Astyanax mexicanus: one gene and its partners. The protein of the gene in region 3 purifies or fractionates together with the protein of the main gene of each other region. This does not show direct contact. Links are inferred from orthologs where the notes say so. Each region holds a gene or a part of one and is shown on either strand. Other genes may lie near its edges.

Region 1 (7,556 bases), on a different chromosome or scaffold from region 3:
CTTCTATTTAACAAACTGCTTGTCATTTTATAAATCATTCTGTTATTTTAACAATTTGTTCTGTCAACGTAATATTCAATACACCATCTTAGAGAGGACAATTTAGTTAAGTTACAAAGTTTGTCACATACATAGTCATACATGGCACAACTGGTATGCATGCGAAATGCTTTAACAACTGCCCACTAATTTAAAACACAGAAGACACAAGAAAAAATATATAAAATATAGAGCATAAAAGAGCAGAGATGTCAAAAACAATAAAACCAACAACACAGAGATATTGCTAACATTTTACGATACAACGTACATTAATAGTACTCGCAAGAGTGTATTTATTAGTTAAAATAATGTTAATCATTCACAATACAACATTCACAAAATTCTTTGCATTTAAATGGAATGTTTAACAATGTCTTAACTAGTGTCTATTAATAACTAGTGGAGACGTTATTTAACCTTTTATCAATGTTTATTACTGTTCTAAGTACTGTTAATTGATGTAGTCATATATATTAATATAATAATATAGACGTTATAAGGAGTGAAGAAAAGATATGTACACTAAATTTAAACAGTACAGAAATGATAACTGAGGGAACGACCTGTATAATCCACGGTACATTTTATTCGATGAGGGAACAATGTCGTATTTAAAAGGGAACAGTTTTAGCTTGTAAATACTGAATTTCTAACTTGACACTTCAGGGTCTCCGTAGGTCAAGGGCTGCAGTTGTGTCTAATTCAGCTAGCTATATTATCCCGAACATTAGGATATGAACACCACTTGCAACAGCTGTGTGAACTAAGATGGACGATAAAACAAACACATATACAATAAACTCATATATGTAGATTTTTAGTTTAACACATCTAGCTGGTACTATAAGCTGTGACTTTATGCAGGCAGTAAAACCAGCTGTGAGACACTTTCAGCTAAACTGACTAGCTAACCTACATAACTACATGGCCATGGGTTGTAAACAATAATAATTAAAACGAATAAAGTGCATGTTAAGAAGAGAACCGTGGTACAGTCAATCCTGAAGACCACAGAGAAAGTGTAAATCACAGCCTGTAGAAATCCTGGAGCCACTAACAGAATGTGAGCGTTTGGTAGAGACAGGTTACGTTAGCGGAGAAGCTAACGTTAGCAGTAGCTAACGCTGCACTGCTGGTCAAACCAAGGACAGGGGGAACATTTTCTCTATTTACAGTTCTGCGAGTTCACTGAGCCTTTTCCCTTTCAGATATACATAAACTACAAGCTCAAACATCTTACAGCCTCTAAAGAAAGCTAAACTCATGTAGTTTTTACTCACCTTGGCGCTATTTGGCCTTCTAGACCAGAACAGCGGAACTGTAGTCAGAGCGTCCAGTTACGCAGGAGTTTTCGGAGGACTTCGGCTGTGCTGACGGAAATAGCCGAAGTAGTTCGATAAGAGAAAACGACCCAAAAATATATTGTATATATTCCAATTATTAAACAATAAACGGAGCTATTTTATTAAGTAAAATTAGAATGTAACTAAAACATATATTTCAGTTAAAATATATAATGCTACACAATATTTTTTTCGCTTTTGCCATAACCCATTACGTCACATCCGTTTCTGTTTTTCTTTCATGAGACACCAAAAATAAAAAAATCTAAAATCTTATCAAAGTATTACTTGATTGTGTTTTTTATTATTATTATTATTATTATTATTATTATTATTATTATTATTATTATTATTATTATTATTATTATTATTATTATTGCGTAATATTTGCATTTTATTATTTATTTAGTTTAATTCCTATCCATAGTTTATCTATATTTTATACCTTAAATGTCATCATATTTTATTTATTATTGTTATAATTTTAGGTGCATGTATTATTTTTCTATCTATGTAACAAAAAACTGACACAAAAAAGGCATGCAAAAAAAGATTTAGAGACTTATGTCAAAATAACAAATTTGCATGTCAAAATAATGGCTTACTGTCTTATAATGAAGAAGTATCGCACAATTACCAATTTAGTATGTCAAAATAATGATTTATTAAAAATATTCTTTATTACAAAATATCGATAAAGTATGTCAAAGTATATAGATAACTAGTATGTCAAAATAACCCCTTAGTATCTTAAAATAATTTAGTATGTCAAAATAATGACTTACCTCAAAATAATGAGGTAGCTTTTTTAAATAATTATATATAATTATATATATTAGTCTATATTCTAGATAGTTTGTTATTTTGGTTATTTGAACAAAAAAGGTCCTAAACAGTGAGAACGGGTCTGTAGCAGAAGCAGGAGGAGAGGGAGGAGTCTCAGGCGGTATAAAGTCTTTTACACAGCACTTTCTCATTCCTTCGCGTTTCCTTCAAGCTAAGAGCCAGACGTCTACCGACCGGCTTTCCTAACTATCTTACAATGGGCTTCGGTGATCTCAAAACCCCCGCCGGCCTTAAGGTTCTGAATGAGTTTCTGGCTGACAAAAGCTATATTGAGGGGTGAGTACGTTTTAGGAACAGGTTTTGGACGAATTTGATGAGAAGTTAATTCGTTAGCAAGGTTAGCTAAGTGGCTAAGCTAAGTTAACTAGGCTAGCTACGTTACTCTCCATGTGGTTGTATGTGGTGCTGGCCCTCCAGTTACTACTAATAAATTACTAATAAATTTAATGTTAGCTGCAACCTGGCGCGATGTAGTCTATTAGTTTATCTAGATATGTAGCTATCTAAATTATACAGCTGTCTTGTAAGGAATGTATTCGGCCTTTTGTCTTCAGCAGCTAAGCTAAGTTCGGCTGTTCTTCTGTCTGCGTGGCCTGATCTGTAACCGCCTACGTGTTAAAACTGTGTCACGTCTTGAAGTCTGAAAAGTTTAATACACCTCTGAAGAAGCTTGTGGATGTTCAGAGCTGATTTAATTTTTATTATATATCTTTTAGATTTTTCGTGGTCGAAAAGTGCGTTTTTAGCTTGTAAATTGACTGAGTTGGAATTGTTTGGGTAGGTGTTATGAATTGTTTATGCCCCCTTTTTCGTTATGTTAAATAAAAATTACAATTTTAATAATTGTAGTAATTTCCCTCTTTAAAACGGAGCAGAGCGCTATTTTTTTTAAACTTGTTCAGGGTTGTCAACTGCAGCTCAATATGCATGTGGTGGTGCTAAAATGTTATAAAATAATCTCACACTGCGCCTGCATGCTATAGTATTGTGAATATTATTATGCGTGTGTACGTTGTGATGGTGATTCTGAAATGGTATTTTGTGCAGCCCTAGTGTGAAAGCCATACTTTAATGGCTTAAGTTGTGCACTCTGAAGGGAAACGAGAAAGCCAGCATGTCCTTTTTTTTTTTTTTTTTTCTTTCAAGCATGTATGTCTGCCTAAAATGTGAGTCTTTCTTTTTTTGTCCCACAGGTATGTCCCATCACAGGCTGATGTTGCTGTGTTTGATGCCTTGTCTGGTGCCCCCCCAACTGACCTATGCCACGCTCTTCGCTGGTACAACCACATCAAGTCCTACCAAAAAGAGAAGGCCAGGTAACTAAAAGCAACAATGCATCATGCAAGTTTATGATTCTCAGCACATGATGAGTTTTTTCACCATCTTTCGCCTGACAAGATGATGCACAATCTTTTAAACACTGATGTCCCTGAGAGACAGTTAGACTAGTGGTGATGTGCCTGCATGCCTGTAGAACTAACTGTACTCTGCCTCTGACTGTTTCAGCCTCCCTGGAGTGAAGAAGCCCCTGGGTCAGTACGGACCTGCTGGAGTGGAAGACACTACTGGCGGAGCCGCTCCTGCTAACGATGACGACGATGATGACATTGATCTGTTCGGCTCTGATGAGGAAGAGGTTTGTTTTGAATCATTTCAAGATGTTCACTCTGTAACTGTCTACTGGTTGTGTGATGAATACTTTTTCACCATCTTTCGACTGAAGTTGTGATGGATCTTTTCTTTTACCTGATTACCAGAATTAAGAAAATGTCTGTCCAAATTTTACTGCTTTACCTTACTAATGTGTGGGTTTGTTCTCTCTCTTTTCTTTCCATTCTAAGGATGAAGAGACTGCAAGGATCAAGGAGGAGAGACTGGCAGCCTACAATGCAAAGAAGTCCAAAAGTATGACACTCAGCTGTTTGGGTTAAAAGGGCACATTGGTCTAAACCTTGCATTTAATTGATCTATTTTTTTAAACATAAATTTAAATGTGAGGCATGACTCTAATATTTATGTATTTTATGTATATGCCTGAATAGTTTACAAAGGATGTATTTTGGTATTTGAAGTAATGGGAGCAGATACAGTTTAGTGATGAGTAACATTACTGTAGCAAACTTGTAATACATTGCAGTGTAAATTGTAGGCATATGTATAGGCATGTTCTTGTAGGTTAAAGTTCATCCTGCTATGAATTGTAAGAAGGATTTTTATTATTTTTTTATATATATATATATATGTGTGTGTGTGTGTGTATATATATATATACACACACCTTTTTTTTTTTTCCCCAGCCAGGGTGACCCTATAACAAAGTGCAGTGATCTTGCTGCCTTTTGTACAAAATACAGGTGTGTTAATACACCTGTAACTAACTTTTTTTTTTTTTTTTTTTTAAATGTCTCTGTAGAGCCAGCCCTTATTGCAAAGTCCTCTATTCTTTTGGACGTCAAGCCCTGGGACGATGAAACAGACATGGCCAAGCTTGAGGAATGTGTACGATCCATTGAACTGGACGGTTTGGTTTGGGGCCAGTGTAAGTCTGCTCTTTTGCATTCTTATTTTATAAATGTAAAAATGAAGATGCTGCACAATTTTAATAGTAACTGCATGGTCAGTTAGACATATTTTTAAAAAAAACTTGTCTTCACTTTCTCTACAGCCAAACTGGTGCCTGTTGGCTACGGCATCAAGAAACTGCAGATTGCGTGTGTAGTAGAAGATGACAAAGTAGGAACAGATCAGCTGGAGGAACTGATCACTGCCTTTGAAGATCACATACAGTCTGTTGACGTTGCTGCCTTCAACAAGATCTAGAAACATGGAAAAAGCATTACACAAAAAGCACTTGAAATAAAACAATTTGATTTTGAAGTGTGAACTATTGTTTTAATTTATTTTTTAGGCAGTGCATCGGGTTCATTCTGGTATGAGGAGACCACTAACTTTGCATGTATTTTCCCTGTTCAAAATGCAACCAATTAACCAAGGTACATGGCCTCCCTAAGGTGGGAGAATGCTTAGCACTAATACTCCTGGGTTCCATTTTAGTGTTGCTATAAAACTGTGAAACACGACTCCACAATAATCATATATTACTCAATAGGCTCCTAAACTTTTAAATAATTTCAAATGCTTCTATTCTGAATGTACACATCTTGACCAAAGGGGGATGGGAGGAAATTCCTGCTGAAAATGGTTTTCTAAAGGCTTGCGGAGGGAGCTGTTCCCCTGTTGCATTCTGAAATGTCCCCAGGGATTAGCCTTAAACTTTTACTGTATGGGTGTGAGATTCACAAGTCATTGCATTATTTACTTTATGTGTGTGTGTGAAAATATATATATATATATAATTTTTTTTTTTTTTTTTTAAGACCTTTTAATCTACATCTTGTACAGCACCCTCAACTTCCTTTGGAGTTGGGTTTTGAACAGAGGGAATTGTACTGACATTTTATAAAATTGTTAAAGTTTTTTTTTTTTTTGTTCCCCCCCCCGTTATTATTTTTTTAAATCAAATATTTGGATAAAGAGTGACATGTAGACCACCTAACTTTGGGAAAGAGGGTGGGTTCCCGCGCTTTGCTCTGACGTCACACGAGAAGCCCTGCGCCAAATACGGGTGCCGACGGGACCAGAATGGAGAAACATTTTCAGTCAGGTGAAAAAAGCTGAAGAGCGCAGTTTATCAGTGTCTATAATGACTTCACTGTAAGTGCTGCAGCGCGACTTTCCTCTGCTGCCAGTCGCTGTTACGGTTTAACATTATTTTCACCATTGAATAAATCGCCAGGCCTGCCGTTAACATGCTAGCCTGCTAACTTAACCTCCGCCTGTCCGGCTGCTCTAGTTCGAGCTAAGTTTGCTTGCTAGCGTTAGCTGGAGGTGGGTAGCCTGAATATTTTTGAGTTTGTGCGCAGTTTAGTGCTTTATAAACGCCGCGTCTGGAGAAAATATAACCTGTGGGAAGTGGGATAACCTTGGAAATGTGTTCGTCTGTGATTATAAACTAAGCCAGCTTGCTATGTTAGCAAACCTAGCTAATCAGTGTAAAAACGACTGGGCTGTGCCGCAGGCCGGATCACCGAGGTTGGTTAGTTAACTAATGATTAGCTAGGCTAGCTACCCACAGTCAGTCACAGAAATCTTATTTACTACCATTCCTGCTGAGTAAGACTTTGGCTGTTCGCTGAAGTAACTTGCTAAATACATAGCTAGCTAATTTGTCTGCTTAAGATCATACATGCTTAACTGAGAGAATTTTAACCACTTTGTAGAGTTGTTAGTTTCTAAACGTAGTAGATTAATAAGTCTCCTCTGCTGATACCAGAGATATTCCATGTTTTACCTGTATAGATGCCAGTCATCCCTCTTGGCCGCGTGAGTTAAGTTGGCCAGTCCACATGCAGTGATGTGATTTTCCAGCCTCGTAAATCCCCGTCCTCTCCTCTTGGCACGTGAGTAAACTTTTCTGCTTTAGACTTTATCACAGTGGTCTCAGCTAGACGTTTAACTCTTAATTCTTTACTTTACAGACAGTAACTTATTATGCCACTGGAGGAGAGACCTGCACCATCTGCTAAAAGTATGTATACAGTGCATTTTCCACAGTCTTTTACACTAGTGCCTATATGATTAGTCAACATTATTAATAGTGTTAATAACAAAGAAATATCAGTGTTGTCTAATCGTTAATTTGTAACTACAATGCGCTGCACACAGTAATTGAGAATTTAGGGCTGCTCACTCACTCCATTAACACTCAGCTTGGTCACCAAAAGTGACAGACAGAACAGATTGCATATATTATCAATAAATATCAAAATATTTTACATTTAAATGTCTTTTTGAGTGTTTAAAGAGCATTTAAATCCTATATTCAGCATTTTGTATTGTTTTAAAACAATAGAGAAAGCCAGGAACAGAAACCTTATTGTTGACTAATTAACTATCAGAAAAATCATGCTAAGATTAGTCTTGATTAGTCTTTGTATAATATCTTAATATACTTTTGGACCATGTCACCCACCCCTAACTGATATATGTTATTCCATGATATTTTATAGATGCAGGGAGAGAGGAAACCAACATGGATAACAGGTAAGATTTTTTTAGGAATCATAATATAAATGCTCCTGTTGCTATCTCTTAGGCATACATATGCCTTCATACACACTTGGTTTTGTTGGTGATGTGACCAGAGGTTGATATTTCTTATTGCCTTGTTACTCCAGGACACTACATTTCACATTTTATTGACTAAATATATAATATAGAGTCAATGGACCAAGTTGCCACTTGCCTTGATGTTATTTAGTTTAG
Region 2 (7,556 bases), on a different chromosome or scaffold from region 3:
TCCAGAGCTGTATTCAATTTCTCCTTTAAGGCCTATGGCTGCTGGCTGGGTGACTATATTTATTATACATATTACACTATAAAACACAAAAAACTATACAAATATCATATATATATATATATATATAGTGTAGAAAACAGTTACAATTACGACTGTTAAGCTGTTATTTTTTTTTACTAAATTAAAATTAAAATAAAAGAGAAACATTTATAAACTTTCTGAAAAAAAAAAACAGATGTAATCAGCTGCTGAGAATGAAGTGATGGTGAACAAAAGAGATGAAAAAAGTCATACTGACAAAAGACCGACAAAGAAAAACATAAAAATGATTAATAGTGAGCTAAAAATGAAATGAAAATGGAAATGAACCACGATCTGTTTTTAGATCATATGTATTTAATATATTTGAGATAATATTTGAGGTTTATATGAGTTAGTCTTTGTTCTCTTTAGCAGACTGTGGGAATCTGATTTTAGATGTGATGCGCCACAACAGCTCTACAACCAAACCCCTAAAACCGCAGTATTTAACCCGTATTTAACACACGATAACACGTAAATGCACTGTACCGTTGCTTTTCCGTCTGTATTTGCTCGCTGTATGTCGTTTAAACGTTTAAATAAATATCCTAATATTCCGTTCCGACCACATCCAGCCTCAGCCTCAGCATCCCGGCGCCTTGTTCCATTTCCCACCCGTATTCCGACAAAACCCCGCCCCCTCCACAGAGATTGGCCAGAAATGCACGGCTCAATGGCAAGTGTGAAGCTACAGCCAATCCAAGCGCAGAAAGCGAAACAGCACCAGCCAATCACAAGACAGGAAGGCGGAGCCTCCCTAAAAACAGGTCCTAAAAAAAAACGACCCATCCCATCCGGAGGAGGAAGTAGCAGCTTTGCTACGTCATGCTCGACGCCTAGCAACAAAGGCAGAGGTTCAGGAGGTTAAGCTAATCATAACATATAAATACAAATACAAATATATAAATACAAGATTTAATAATACCAGAGGTATTGAACTACTTCACTACTGTGTATTTAAGTACTAAAATGTTGTCACTGTATCTACTGGAGTATTATTTTTACTTCACTACTACTGTGTACTTAAGTACTAAAATAATACTGTATCTGGATCAACTGGAGTTATATTTTTATTTCACTACTATACTCGAGTACTAACATGCTGTATATCTATCTACTGGAGTATTATTTTTACTTCACAACTGTACTTAAGTACTAAAATTCTATATCCACTGAAGTATTATTTTTATTTCACTATTGTACTTAAGCATTAAAATACTGTATCTGTATATACTGGAGTATTATTTTTACTTCCCTACTCAGTACTTAAGTACTAAAATGCTGTATCTTCATGCAAGTACTAAAATAATTATGTATCTGCATCTACTGGAATATAATTTTTTACTTCACTACTGTACTTAAGTATTAAAATATTGTATCTGTATCTACTGGATTATTATTTTTACTTCACTACTGTGTACTTAAGTACTAAAATAACGCTGTATCTGTATCTACTGGAGTATTATTGTCACTTCACTACTGTGTACTTAAGTACTAAATTACTATATCTATATCTTCTGGATTATTATTTTTATTCCACTACTGTGTACTTAAGTACTTAAATACTGTATCTGTATATACTGGAGTATTATTTTTACTTTACTGTTGTGTATATAAGTAGTAAAATACTGTATCTGTTTCTACTGGAGTATTATTTTTACTTCACTACTGTGTACTTAAGTACTAAAATGCTTTTGCAAGCCAAAAGTCTAAAATTTTAAATGATTTTCTAGCTCTACCAGAGTCCTGTTTTTCATGATCCAGATTCAAAACTCTTATTTCCAGTTCCAAATTCTGCAAAAGATCAGCAGAGGAACATTGTTTTAGTGTTCAGTGTTGAAGTCGGTACACTAGATGGCTCTGTTTACCCTTGGATGTGGCTTTAATGGCCTTATTATTTTGCCTGTCAATTTGCAACAGTGTCACTTATGAGACTTTTGAGACCATTTAAGTATGGAGAAGGCTTGGAATGGCTCGATACAAAGCTCACCATGTTACCTGTAAAACATGGTGGTGGTAGTATGGGCATGCCTGGCTTCCAGTGGCATCGGATCACTAGTATGTATTGATGATGTGACAGAATAGAAGCAGAAGGATGAATTCTAAAGTTACAGGGATTTAATTTGCTCAAATTTAACCAATACAGTGAGGTTGATTGGAAGACACTTAACAGTACAGATGGACAGTGACCTAAAACATACTGCTAAAGCATCCCAGAAGTAAAATCAGGTGCAGTAAAGGCCTGGCAAAGCATCATAAAAGGAGAAAACCTAGTGTTTGGTGATATCCATATGTTCCAGACTTAAGGCAATCATCGCCTGCAAAGGATTTTTAACAAAGCCCAGCCGGGCTATTTTATCATCAAATTCCACTTAATTACCGCAGTTTAAGCTTCTATATTGATAAAGTATCAGATCAGGACTTGGTATATATACATATCAATCATTGTCCATTGTTACTATCGATCTCCATTATTCTCTGTTGTTCTCCATCATGTTCCATCATTCTCCATTATTCTCCATCATTCTCTATTTTTTTTCAAATATTTTAAATCATTATCCATCATTCTCTATCATTCTCTATCTTATTTTCCATAATTTTCCATTATTCTTATTTATTTTTCACCATTCTCCGTCATTCTCTATTATTCTCCACCATTCTTCATCATATTCCATCATTCTCCATTATTATCCATCATTCTTTATTATTCTCCATTATTATTATTAGCATGTCTGGTTGCATCAGACTACTTTCGTTTTTACGGCACTAGCCGCAGCTTTGCGGCAGAGCCCGTTGCTACTCTACGCGCCTGGCGCACGCGGGATTAAGGCTGACTGTACGCTGTTGCGGTGAGTGGGAGCGTGTTGGTTATGTTGTTAATATTTTATCCTTTTTTGCTTTAAAATGACGTTAAATCGTGATAACACGCCGCCTGTTCCCTTCAGAAACGTCTAGACCTCTTTTTTAACCCTGTCTGACTGACCGGCGGCAGCGGAGAGCGAAGTTTAGCACAGTAACCCCCTGTCATCACTTCCCCGTGCTACTTCTGCCCTTAAATTTCCTTAATTTATACCGGTTTCAGCTTCAGTTTGGCCTGTTTTACTGAATAAGACGAGTGTGGGACTTCACTCGCTGTTTTGTTTGTTTGGAATATCGATATTAAAGAGTGTACATGAATAAGAACAAGCTAGCCTGTTAGCTTTTGGGGAGCTTAAGTTGTCTTGTTGTAATTTTCCGGTCCACCTTAAATTCTGCAGCAGTTACGTACAGCTCCTGACCGGCGCCTCTATGTTACAGCTGATGTATTTAAGGTGGAACGGACCATTCCTAGAAGAAGCTGGCAAATGTTGATTTTTTTTTTTGTAGCTAGCTTAGCACTTTCTTAACTCTTATCTTGACAATGCAGTACTTTTTCACCCAAGGTGTAAAATCTTGATTTAGACAAGCAGCTGAGTGAGCAGAAATAGGCATTTATTGGCTAGTCTTTCTGTTTTCTGTCTCAGTTTAGTGGTGGACAATATGGGATAAATGTTAGCTAGTTTAGCTATCACAATACTTTGAAATGAATAGTTTTACAAGACACAGTTTACAGGGCTGGGCAATTAAATTCACATTTAGGTACAGACAATATGGCCCTAAAATAATATCACAATATTTCTCAAAGGTGTTTACAAAAACAATATCCTTTGCAATATAACAAAACATTGAAATAAAAAAAATATATAAATTCAACAATACACCACTGTAGACCTGTCAAAATTAAAAACTAATTTTGGAAGATATATTGTGCCAGAAATTATTAAGATAAACAATATTAAACAATATTCTTGTCATTTTAAGACATTTTAGATTGGGAAATATATACTTTTAATTTACATACTTATGTCCACATTGGTCACTGCATGACTGGCTAAAATACTGTTAATATCGTTAAATATACAAACACAATAGTCTGTCACGATTTCAAATATTATTGAGGTCATGTCCATTTATTATACGATAAATTGATAATGTAATTATTGCGACAGTCCTACACTACTCCAACAAAACATATATTACCGCTATATAATATCACCAAATTTCATGGTATCTTTGCAATGACAGTATGCATACTTATATGTCCAATATTTGCAGTATGCATTAGGATATTTGATGTTAAAATGATTTTGCCGTTGTAACACAAAAGAGAAAAAAAAACATGAATGTTACACAAATGCTGTTATAATTTGTATTGATGTGTATTGATATGCAATTTATTCCATGCTTTAGCCACTACACTGAATCCTGTCCATGTTAAAAATTCCAGAACCTACCAAGTTTTCAGACGATTAATACACACTTTTATTTCTCAAGACTGTATTATATCCATATATCCATACTGTATTATATTAAGTCCAAAGTCAGTGCAGTGTTTTACTGCTAAATGTTTTGATGTCTCAGTTATTTTGGCCTGTCTAGTCATTCATATTCATACACTCTCTCTCTCTTTCTCTTTTTCACTCTCTCTCTAGAGATGGACTCCCTGTACGTGTCCTCCCACCCTGATGACTTTAGGAGTTTGCAGGCCCTTATTGCAGCTGAATTCTCCCCATCCCGCCCGCAGACCCTCGCAGAGGAGCCCCCAGCCAGAGTAGCTCGATGTCGCCCTGCCCTGGTGCTGCGGGACGCCGAGGCGACGGCACTGTGCGGAGCCGGAGCGGTCAGCTGGTACCTGGCATCTGTGGGCGGGAGGACGGGCAGCGATGCCCAGCAGCAGAGCGAGGTGTGGCAGTGGCTGAGCTTTGCTGAGAATGAGCTCACACCTGTGGCATGTGCCGTGGTCTTCCCTCTGTTGGGGGTGATGGGAGTCGACAAAAAGGTGCTTGTCCATATGGGATGTCCCGATCACATTTTTTTGCCCCTGAGACTGATTCATTAAATTTTAAGCATCTGTCGATACCGAGTCCTGATCCAATACTTTGACAGTGCAGTAAAAAAAGAAAAAAACACATCCAAATTGTCCTTTAAGTTTTTTTTAAATGATTGTTTTTTTTTAATAATTTTAAACGCGAAATGTTCTGATATTTAGTGAGTTAATATGTAATATGTGGTGTTTGGGCACTTTTGGAGTCAGAATAAGTGTAAGTGTAACTTGTGTGAGTAAGCCTTTTACCCATCTCCCATTGCGATTTTGTCCCTAGCATTTTGTTTAATGCAGGACTGTTGCAAATTAACAATTAGTCGACAATTAAATTTATAGTCAACAAATTTAAATAATCAACACTTAGTGTCAGGGTCACAGGACAATACACTACTGTTGCCCCGGCTAGTGAATTGAGACATGGTGGGGGAAAAACTTCCTTATAAGAAGATAGGGAGCCCAAGAACAGGCAGAAAAACGAGAACAGGTGGAAACTAAAGTCACACCGAGCACGACAGATAGATACGGGGGAGGAACAAAGTAAAACTGTGGAATTATGGAGCTCCATCCAATAGTATTGGGATAAGTTGGGCAAAAAAAAGCCACAGTAGGGACTTCAATAAAAGCAAATAAACGTTTTTTTGTTTTTTTTTAAACAATCATTAAGAAGCCTTTTCTTGAGCATGTAGAAATAGAATAATTCTGTTGTCTATATGTTTAATATGTATTTCCTTATCTTCCAGTTGCAGCAGAGTTCTCGGGCGGAGCTGTTGCGTGTTTTGAAGGTTCTGGATCAGATTTTAGAGCCGCGGACCTTCCTGGTTGGAGAGAGCTTGTCTCTGGCTGATGTAGCTGTTGCAATGGCTGCGCTGCTGCCTTTTAAATATGTAAGTGGTATTTAGTCATGCTGATAGCCCGTTTTGGAGCTCTGGTCATTCGTTCATTCATATATTGGTCTTGAGTGTTCTGTTCCCCTTATTTCCTCATTCAACTGGCAATACAGAACCCCAATAGAGCCAGTGTAGAAATCACTATTTTGTGTGATGAGAAAGTTGACACAGAGAAGGAGGTGTATTATATTTATGACAAATGTATGCTTTCTTATTTATATCTCTAATTAAAAGGAGGAGGACAACAGAAATATCAAACATGTCTTGAATGATGTTGATTGATTGCATCTGGTGTCAGTAGTCAGTCCCGTTTAGTTGTTTTTCTTTGCTAAACTTTTCTTGAATGTCAGGTTTTGATGGTTTGTTTGAAGGTGTGATTGGCCCTGCGTGATATTTATGCTCATGTTCCTCTCTCACGCTCTCTCAGGCATTGGAGCCATCAGACAGGAAGACCCTGGTGAACGTAAGCAGGTGGTTTGATACGTGTGTCAATCAGCCGCAGCTCCTGAAAGTGCTGGGCAAAATCACACTCTGTGAAAAAATGGTGCCGGTGACTCCTAAATCCAACTCTGCTGTCAACACCACCACTGCTGCTGCTGCAGCAAACGGCACTGCTCCCAGCAGCACACCTGTCAGCGGTGAGTGCGTGTGGGAGTGTATGGGGGCGTTAGCCAGGGTAATTGCCTTTCACAACCTGCTGTGATTCAGAAATAGTATCTGCGGAAGTCTTTAAAAGCCACAGATTCCAGATTTGTACACTACGTGGGGGAAAAAGTATCGGGACACCTTCTAACCATAGAATTTATATGTTACTTTCAGTCCCGTTGCCACAGGTTTATAAAATCAAGCCTCTAGCCCTGGAGTCTGCCTTTACACACATTAGTAAAAGTATAGGTTGTGGTAAAGAGCTCACTGAACACCTGTGTGGTGCTGTAATAGGACGGCACCACTGCAACAAGTCAGCTGGTGACATTTTTACCCACCTAGATATGTATTTTATATCAGCTGTGTGTGATTATTATTGTGAAAGTGAAGTGAAAGCATTCAGGAACCATATCAATTTAACGATAAAGTGCTAGCTAAACTGCTAGCGCTAGCTGCGGTTAGAGGCTAATTCTGCCCAACAGCTCTACACTAAGGAACCTTGAGTGTTCTGGTTAGCCAGGGCGCTATTACTATTCCCACTTAGCTTGTTTTAACATGGAAAACAGTGCAGTGCTAGCCAGGGTTAGCAGCTAATGTTAATGCTGCTCCAGCAGTGCTTGCCGGGGTTAGCAGCAGACTACATGCCAATAAAACTCACCTCTGATAAAGGGGTTAGCAGCTAATGCTAATAATGATGGAGAGCATTAGTATTACTGTTCCTTAATACCTGACTGTAAAAATTTATACATAAGGTGCACTGTCGATTTTGGGGAAAATTAAAGGATTTTAAGTGTGCCTTATAAATATGTTGCAAAATCTTTATAGAGCAACCATAGATTACTTTCCTTCAAAGCCATGATTTTAAACAGATTTGGTTTAATTCAAACCACAGTTCAGCAGAAATCTGTCTTCATCATCTCTTTTAGATAGATAGATAGATAGATAGATAGATAGATAGATACTTTATTTATCCCAAAGGAAATTTAGGCATCCAGCAGCAACAACACAATACAATAAGAAACATATTCAAACATAAATTA
Region 3 (7,556 bases):
AAAGATATGGGTGCAGAGGCTTTTTGATGGGTGCTGGTGCAGATCCAGGCGATTCACTGATCTGTAACCTAAAGACACTGAGTGTTTTTACATGCATGTTCAATAATAGGTTACTGAAGTTAAAATCGAATTATTGAAGTAGTCATATAAACAGTATACTTTAATTTCTTAGAACTGAGGTCTTAGAGTCTGAGTCTGATGCTATCATCTGTTAAAGAGAGCTGGATTTTTGCTCAGCAATTGTATTTTTCAGTGCATGTAAACTTGTGGTACCAGAAATAAGCCAGCAGCTTTAAAACATCTCCAGTGAGATGACGACAAAACACATTTGCGCAATGCTGAACCCAAACAGATTTCAATATTCTTAATCTTCTATCTATTGTATGTTTTTATGATAAAGATTTACATGATGTTTATCACCTGTTATTTTGTAAATTTGAGTTGATTGCAAAGCAAAAATCTAATTATGGCTTTACTTTTTTTAAACTAATGAATTTTAACAGTATCTGTTACAGTAACTGTTAACAGTAACTTTATGTAAACACTGATCATAATAATTGAATTATAAAGTGCATGTAAACGCACTCACTGTCTACAGTATGCTTGTGTAATGGTACACAAAATTCATGGATTAGTTTGTACCATGGTTTAGTTTGTACCACAGGTTGGACCTCATTGTTCCGTACAAGCTCAGTACAAAGAAAAAAATAAAATATAGTCTAGGTTTCTAGTTTCTTATCATGTTAGTTCTTATGAAGTTAGTTCTGCCTAGTGCTATATAGTCTGGCTTGAGGTAGTCAGTCTGTCAGCCTGTACTGTATTAATTTAGCAGTAAAAAATGGATTAAGGATGTTTAATGTCTTTCCACACACACACACACACACTGTCCAGCATCACAATTACTTCCTCCTTGGCTGATCCATCATAATGTCAAATTAGATGGTAAAAGGTCAGAATGTCGCAGAGAAAGGTGAGGAATAAGCAGGTTAAAATACCAAATAAATCCTTCTGTGCACACAGCAAGTGTATAGAAAAATACAGTTACAATAGCAATGCTCCTAAATCCACTACAGTTCCCATAATCCCATGCATTGCATCTTTATGTTGACGTTTGGCTTGTGCACCCCCATTGCATGGTGGTTTGGTACCAAGACACATACCATTACAACCCTATTGCTCTAAAAATTAAGGTGACATGAAGACCTTCAAAGGACCTGCAAAGTTTTGAGTGTTTGACATTTCTGGGCGGGTTGCCCCAACAGGGATTAAGCTGCATAACCTTTTGTATATTCCATTTTGAATGGAGATTTTCTTTCGTAAACACAATGTTCTAAAACTAGGCTTATTCCCCAAGTCGCTGACTCATTAATTCATTCATAAATTGGCCCAAATTGTTCCAAATACTGAGTTGCCTCCCTAAGATGCTTTACCAGGCCTTTCTGTTGCCTTTTGGGTGGATCTTTCTGTCTTTAATTTAATAAACTTGATCAACTTAAAAGAATGACTGCACTGTGTGTTGAGGCATTATCTGTCTGTACTATAAATTGACCTTCCTGTCAGTGCCGGTTCTACACCAACATCTGTGGTGTGCTGGTGTATGTTGTTCTAATGTAGTATATGTTGGATTAGACACTGCAGTGCTGCTTTTTTTTACTGTCCACTCTATTGGATATCGCTACCCAGCTACTGTTTCCGGTTGGTGGACTAATTTCATTCCAGAAGTGAAGAGTTTAAAAACTCCAGCAGCACTGCTGTGTCCGATCCACTCATGCCTGCAGCACAACACTGCAAAGCTGCCTGAAGGATGACCCACCAGGGTGAAAGAAGTATAACACTGAATGCAGAGAAACAAATGGGCTGTAGTAAACAGCAGACTTCAGCTGACAAGACTGACAAAGATCGTAGAAACAATGTCATAATATTCTACTTGGACTGTGTATACAGCTCAGGAAAAAAATAAGAGACCACGTAAAAATGATGAGTTGATTTTACCAAATTAAAAACCTCTGGAATATAATCAAGCGGAAGACGGATGATCTGTCTGAGTTTTTGGACTAGGAGTGGCAGAAAGTTATCCAAAAGCAGTGTGTAAGACTGGTGGAGGAGAACATTGCAAGATGCATGCAAACTGTGATTAAAATCAAGGGTTATTCCACCAAATATTGATTTCTGAACTCTTAAAACTTTATGAATGTGAACTTGTTTTCTTTGCATTGTTTGAGGACTGAAAGCTCTGCACCTTTTTATGTTATTTCAGCCATTTCTCATTTTTTGCAAATGAATGCTCTAAATGACAATATTTGTATTTGTAACTGATTGATTCAGACACGTAGTGCTCTTTTGCTTTTTCCAGCGCTCTGTATTTATATATAAAAACTTGAAATGCTTAATTCTATTCTATTGTGTCAGCCAGATTTCCACAGATGTGAGGAACTCACAGTATTATGATTTAGTCCTGATGATTATGATTACACATGTTCTAAATCTCAAGGGAATCTTTAGGAATGTGCTGAGTCACTCAGGCTTGCAGTGTGATGCTGGAGTTTTCTCCCATCCTTTTCTTCCCTTTCTCCTAACTTTCATCCCAGCATACATCCCCCACCCACCTCTCTGTTTGGTTTCTCTTGCTGCCTTTGCAGATCCCCTGCTTCAGCATCTCTCTCGTCTCCCTCTGTCTCTCTCTCTCTTCTGTCTCCCCCTCCTACCCTCCTCCCTCCCCACATAAAGTGCCGCATTGCTGTATCAAAGTGGGGTGCGTTCACTACGCAGACAGATTTAGAGCCTGCCACCCCCCCTGTGTTGGAGTGCTAAGGAAGAAAGAGGGTGTTCAGAGGGAACACGCTGTGCTGCCTGAACACACAGCTACAGCAGGTAAGACCCCAAAGACATCTATCTGTCTGTTTATGTTTATGCTTCTGTTTACACTGCAGTCAGAATTCATTATAGGTAGTTTCTCCGGCCTTTCTCTGAGTGTTTGTTTGTTTATTTTTTTTCTTCTTCTATATTTTTTTTAATATCTATTCATTTATCACATTTCCTTTATGTAAACGTTTAGATACAGTTTATTAATCTGCTTTAATCTTGTTTTATAATGAATCTGCAATGCTGTTTATTCTGTCTGTGAAGAGCAGGGGAACCCTGGGTGGGAACATTCTCTCTTCTTTCCCTCTGTGTTCTGTTCATCATGGGGAAGGAAAAGATCCACATTAATATTGTTGTGATTGGCCATGTGGACTCTGGGAAGTCCACCACCACCGGTCACCTCATCTATAAGTGTGGAGGCATTGACAAGAGAACCATCGAGAAATTTGAGAAGGAGGCTGCAGAGGTACAGACAGATATTAACTTTCCAGAAGCTTCTATGTTTACTGTGGTAGCCCTACTAAGTTTTCAGGCTTGGAGATGAAAACTGAAAGTAATGAATATAGAAAGAAAACAATAGGTTGTGTATTTGAACTGGCATTCCTGGTTTGAAAAAAAATAGTCAACCAGTGTTTTCATGGGCATGTTTGTGCTGGTTTGTGATACATAGGAACACTGTGTATATAGTCTGTATTATTTAACTCCAGACCACTCCCTGGTTTGGCATGCAATTTGTGCTTTAAAAAGTTTCTGAGTGTCTACCTGTAAAAAATGATTTATAGGATGATCTATTACATGTTTCAGTTAACATGTTTCTGTACAGGCAAGAGCAAAACAAAATATATACAAAATATCCAAAGAATGCCATTACTAATAAAAAGAAGTCAGTTATAATATATATGATTGGATTTTCAGGCAGACAGAGTGTCGTAAAACTGACTTAAAAACTTAAAAAGTTTAAATCCTTGTTTTGTGGGGTGTTTTAATAGTATGTCATACCTTTATGCATTTATTCGTTTATAGAAGACAGTCATACATACACAAGATTATATTATTTACATCCCATATAGTTCATAGGATACTCAAATACTCTTAATTAGACATGTACATTTCAGAATTTAGATATGTATTAATTTGACCATGTTTTGATTTATTTGAAATTATATTGCTTTCTAAATGTCCTTTTATCAACATTTTGTTAAAACACTGTTTTTTTAATCAATCAGAAATTGATAATCTGGAGTGTTTTTGTAGCTGTAAATAAAATCATTTCTATGGTAAATTATTTGTATTGATTAGATCAAAAAAGGGTATTTATCACAAAGTTCTTCATATGTAAAAGGTTCTTGAAAGTAGTCAAAATGGAAAAAAAAAACTTATTATTTGATTGTGTATTCATTAGTACATTATTAGGATGTTAGAATTAGTTTTCCAGAGGAGAATTAAACCTAATTCTGGATTAATCAGGGATCAAATTCTTCAGGATTTTTTTTGAGAAACCAGACGAGTTCATACTGGTAAAATCTGTTCATCTATTAAAAAAACAACAACAAAAAAACAAACCTAAAATGTATAGAAGTTCAATGACGATTTTGGCTGAATGATAAAATCACAAGTACAGCCATTAGAATTTAACATTTTTCCTTGATCAAGTTGAATATATGATATAAAAAAAAAAAACTAAAATTAATGTTAAAATGGAAATCTCAAACATATAAAGCTTTTAAAATGACGGATGATGCTCAGCATTACATTAATACAGATATGCTAAACAAATGTTTACTACTGTAGAATGATATTTGTTTCTTTAAACTTTCTCTTCTTGTCACTGTTGCACAAAAACCTTTTATCATAGGATTTTCATAATATAATAGAAATGCTTATTGAATTTAAACTTTCCAATTTTTTGTCTGCTGTCCAGATGGGGAAAGGATCCTTTAAGTATGCCTGGGTATTGGACAAGCTAAAGGCAGAGCGAGAGAGAGGCATCACCATAGACATCTCTCTCTGGAAATTTGAGACTTCTAAATACTACATTACCATCATAGATGCTCCAGGTCACAGAGATTTTATCAAGAACATGATCACAGGGACTTCCCAGGTAAAGCTGCATCACATATCGATATTTTCCAGGCAAAGGCTGAAACATCAGGCCTTGGACATATTAGTGTTATAGGTCAGTGTCTGCTGAAAGGCCCCTTTGTCTCCAGTTCTGCAGATATATACTGTAAATAAAGCTGTATTTAATCTGCTGTCTGCAGTCATTTAGCAGCTGAACTTACTTGCAGGAGAACACTAACAGCTGTTCTGTAATGTCAGCTAACAGATGCCTGCACTTGCGTTTAGCTGAATGATGGATGGAGAGACAGCAAAGCCAATTTTTCTTTTTTGGACTCTCTTGGCTGGATGGTTGTGGTATGACCAAGGATTGAACTTGCAATCTCATTGCAAATTCACTGCTGGAGCAGCATTAGCATTACCTGCTAACTGTGCTAAGCACTAGCTCTATCGCCTTTCAGAGGTAGTATTATCAGCCTGTAGCCTGCTCCAGATAGCATTAACATTACCCACTAACTGAGCTAAGCGCTAATTAGCTCTTTCGTGTTTTAGAGGTAAGTATTTCGGACCGTAGCCTGCTGCTAACCCCGGCTAGAACTGCCAGAGCAACATTAGCATTACTTGCTAACCACGCTAAGCGCTAGTTAGCTGTTTCTGTGTTCAGAGCATTGTGATAAATTGTGTACTCCTAAGATGCTTTTCAATTTATGGTCCTGTGTCAAGGCACAAGTACTTGTTTTTATCATGGGATGCACTGCATCCACATCATATAGTCATGAAAGTGACTGGCAAAATTAAGTATTTCTCCCAGAATTTTATTGCAATTACATGTTTTGTTTATATACATGTATACTTTCATTCGTGTGTATTGGAACAGCACAGAAAACTGAGAAAGCCAAAAATGTATATAATTTCTGTATATAAACACCAGACAAAATTACTGGCAGCCTCAATTAAAATTTTTGATTGCACAAACTTTGGAAAATTGCTTCCTATAACCATCAATAAGCTTCTTACACCTCTAAACCTCTAAAATTTTGGACCACTCTTCGTTTGCAAAATGCTCCAGGTCTCTTAAATATGAAGGGATTTTAAGACCTATCCACAGGTGTTCAATAGGATTTAGATCTGGACTAATTGCTGGCAGCTTCAGAACTCTCTAGCACTTTTTTCTCATCTATCTCTGGGTGCTTTTTAAAGTATGTTTAGGGTCATTGTCCTGTTGGAAGGCCCAAGACCAAGGAGGCAAAGTCAGCTGTCTGACACTGGGCCCTACATTGCGACCCAAAATCCTTTGTTAATTTTAGATTTTATGTTGTCTTGCAGTATACACAAAGGAATTAAAAATGGACATAACAAAATATGTGTAGCTGCAATCGTTTTCAGTGAGAAATACTTCAGGGGGGCACAAAAACTTCGGCCATGACTGAATATATCTGATATAGCTGATGTAATTCACAACTTAGTTAAACAAAGTAAAAAGGATCAGATGCTAATTTATTGAAGCCAGATACAACAGGGCACCTTCATAGGTCTTGCAGAGTGGGCGGTTTATGAACATTTGCATATTTGGCAGGTGATCATAATATTTTGGCTTATGTGTATAGTTCCTGCAGGACTTGTTATATTTTCTGCACTATAAGACGCATTTAAAAATTCTTTAATTTTCCCAAAAATCGTCAGTGTGTGAATTGTACCAGTCAGGTTGTAAGGAGCAGTAAAGCCACTCTACTGAAGTGCAGCGTTATAGTTTAATTCTATATTTTAGTTCCCCAGCACCCGAGCAAGACTCGAGACTGGATCAGTATAAGCATTAGCTGCTAACCGTGCTAAGCGCTAGCTCTTTCGCCTTTCAGAGGTAGTATTATCAGCCTGTCGCCTGCTCCTAACTCCAGATAGCATTAGCATTACCCACTTACTGCGCTAAGAGCTAATTAGCTCTCTCGTGGTTTAGAGGCAAGTATTTCGGACCGTAGCCTGCTGCTAACCCCGGCTAAAACTGCCAGATCAACAATAGCATTACTCGCTAATCACGCTAAGCACTACTTAGCTGTTTCTGCGTTCAGAGGTGAGTGCATCAGACTGTAGCCTTTCTCTTCACCATGATAAAACAAGCTATGTGGGATGAACTGCTAACTAATATCGCCCTGGCTTACTGGAACACTCAGGGTTGCTCAGTGTTGTGCTGTCTGGATAGCCTTAGTGGAAATCTGGAAATTTAAGCTTACTGTAAATAAATGAAAGCACTTTACTTACCCAAATAAACAGTTTTCAGGAGAGAAATCTGTGTAGATTAATATAGAGCACTCGTTGGCCTTTAAAACTACCTTGTGTATGAAAATAGACCAGAAAACATTTATTGATAGTGCGCCTTATTATCCAGTGTGCCTTAAAGTGTGGAAAATATGGTATTTGTCCAAAACAGCGGCATTAATTAATTAACAACTAAATTAACAACCATAATTAAACATAAGCTTTACCTTCATTCATTGCTCTGCTTCTCATTAACAGGCAGACTGTGCCGTTTTGATCGTGGCAGCTGGCGTGGGTGAATTTGAAGCCGGCATCTCCAAGAACGGGCAGACACGCGAGCATGCCCTACTAGCCTACACTCTGGGTGTTAAACAGCTGATTGT

What was found. The genes of interacting proteins can lie anywhere in the genome.
Region 1: the proteins of eef1a2 (region 3) and eef1b2 purify together in Homo sapiens (co-immunoprecipitation; 4 studies listed by BioGRID and IntAct, counting the BioPlex papers as one, with this or other methods). This does not show direct contact. The link is inferred for Astyanax mexicanus from reciprocal best matches to the Homo sapiens genes EEF1A2 and EEF1B2.
Region 2: the proteins of eef1a2 (region 3) and vars1 purify together in Homo sapiens (co-immunoprecipitation; 3 studies listed by BioGRID and IntAct, counting the BioPlex papers as one, with this or other methods). This does not show direct contact. The link is inferred for Astyanax mexicanus from reciprocal best matches to the Homo sapiens genes EEF1A2 and VARS1.

What each region holds. Positions count from the first base shown.
Region 1 is NC_064412.1:41,446,494-41,454,049, reverse strand, and holds eef1b2 (elongation factor 1-beta), read left to right. Parts: upstream 1-2,351; 5' UTR 2,352-2,427; coding exon 2,428-2,507; intron 2,508-3,424; coding exon 3,425-3,547; intron 3,548-3,737; coding exon 3,738-3,867; intron 3,868-4,072; coding exon 4,073-4,136; intron 4,137-4,644; coding exon 4,645-4,770; intron 4,771-4,896; coding exon 4,897-5,051; 3' UTR 5,052-5,108; downstream 5,109-7,556. Other genes in the region: zdbf2 (DBF4-type zinc finger-containing protein 2), read left to right, coding at 6,783-6,819, 7,301-7,334. UniProt on the Homo sapiens protein: Catalytic subunit of the guanine nucleotide exchange factor (GEF) (eEF1B subcomplex) of the eukaryotic elongation factor 1 complex (eEF1).
Region 2 is NC_064413.1:5,088,379-5,095,934, forward strand, and holds the start of vars1 (valine--tRNA ligase), read left to right. Parts: upstream 1-2,858; 5' UTR 2,859-2,930; intron 2,931-4,592; 5' UTR 4,593-4,594; coding exon 4,595-4,939; intron 4,940-5,724; coding exon 5,725-5,868; intron 5,869-6,298; coding exon 6,299-6,509; intron 6,510-7,556. UniProt on the Homo sapiens protein: Catalyzes the attachment of valine to tRNA(Val).
Region 3 is NC_064420.1:29,050,858-29,058,413, forward strand, and holds the start of eef1a2 (elongation factor 1-alpha 2), read left to right. Parts: upstream 1-2,610; 5' UTR 2,611-2,871; intron 2,872-3,126; exon of another isoform or gene 3,127-3,131; 5' UTR 3,132-3,184; coding exon 3,185-3,328; intron 3,329-4,783; coding exon 4,784-4,963; intron 4,964-7,431; coding exon 7,432-7,556. UniProt on the Homo sapiens protein: Translation elongation factor that catalyzes the GTP-dependent binding of aminoacyl-tRNA (aa-tRNA) to the A-site of ribosomes during the elongation phase of protein synthesis.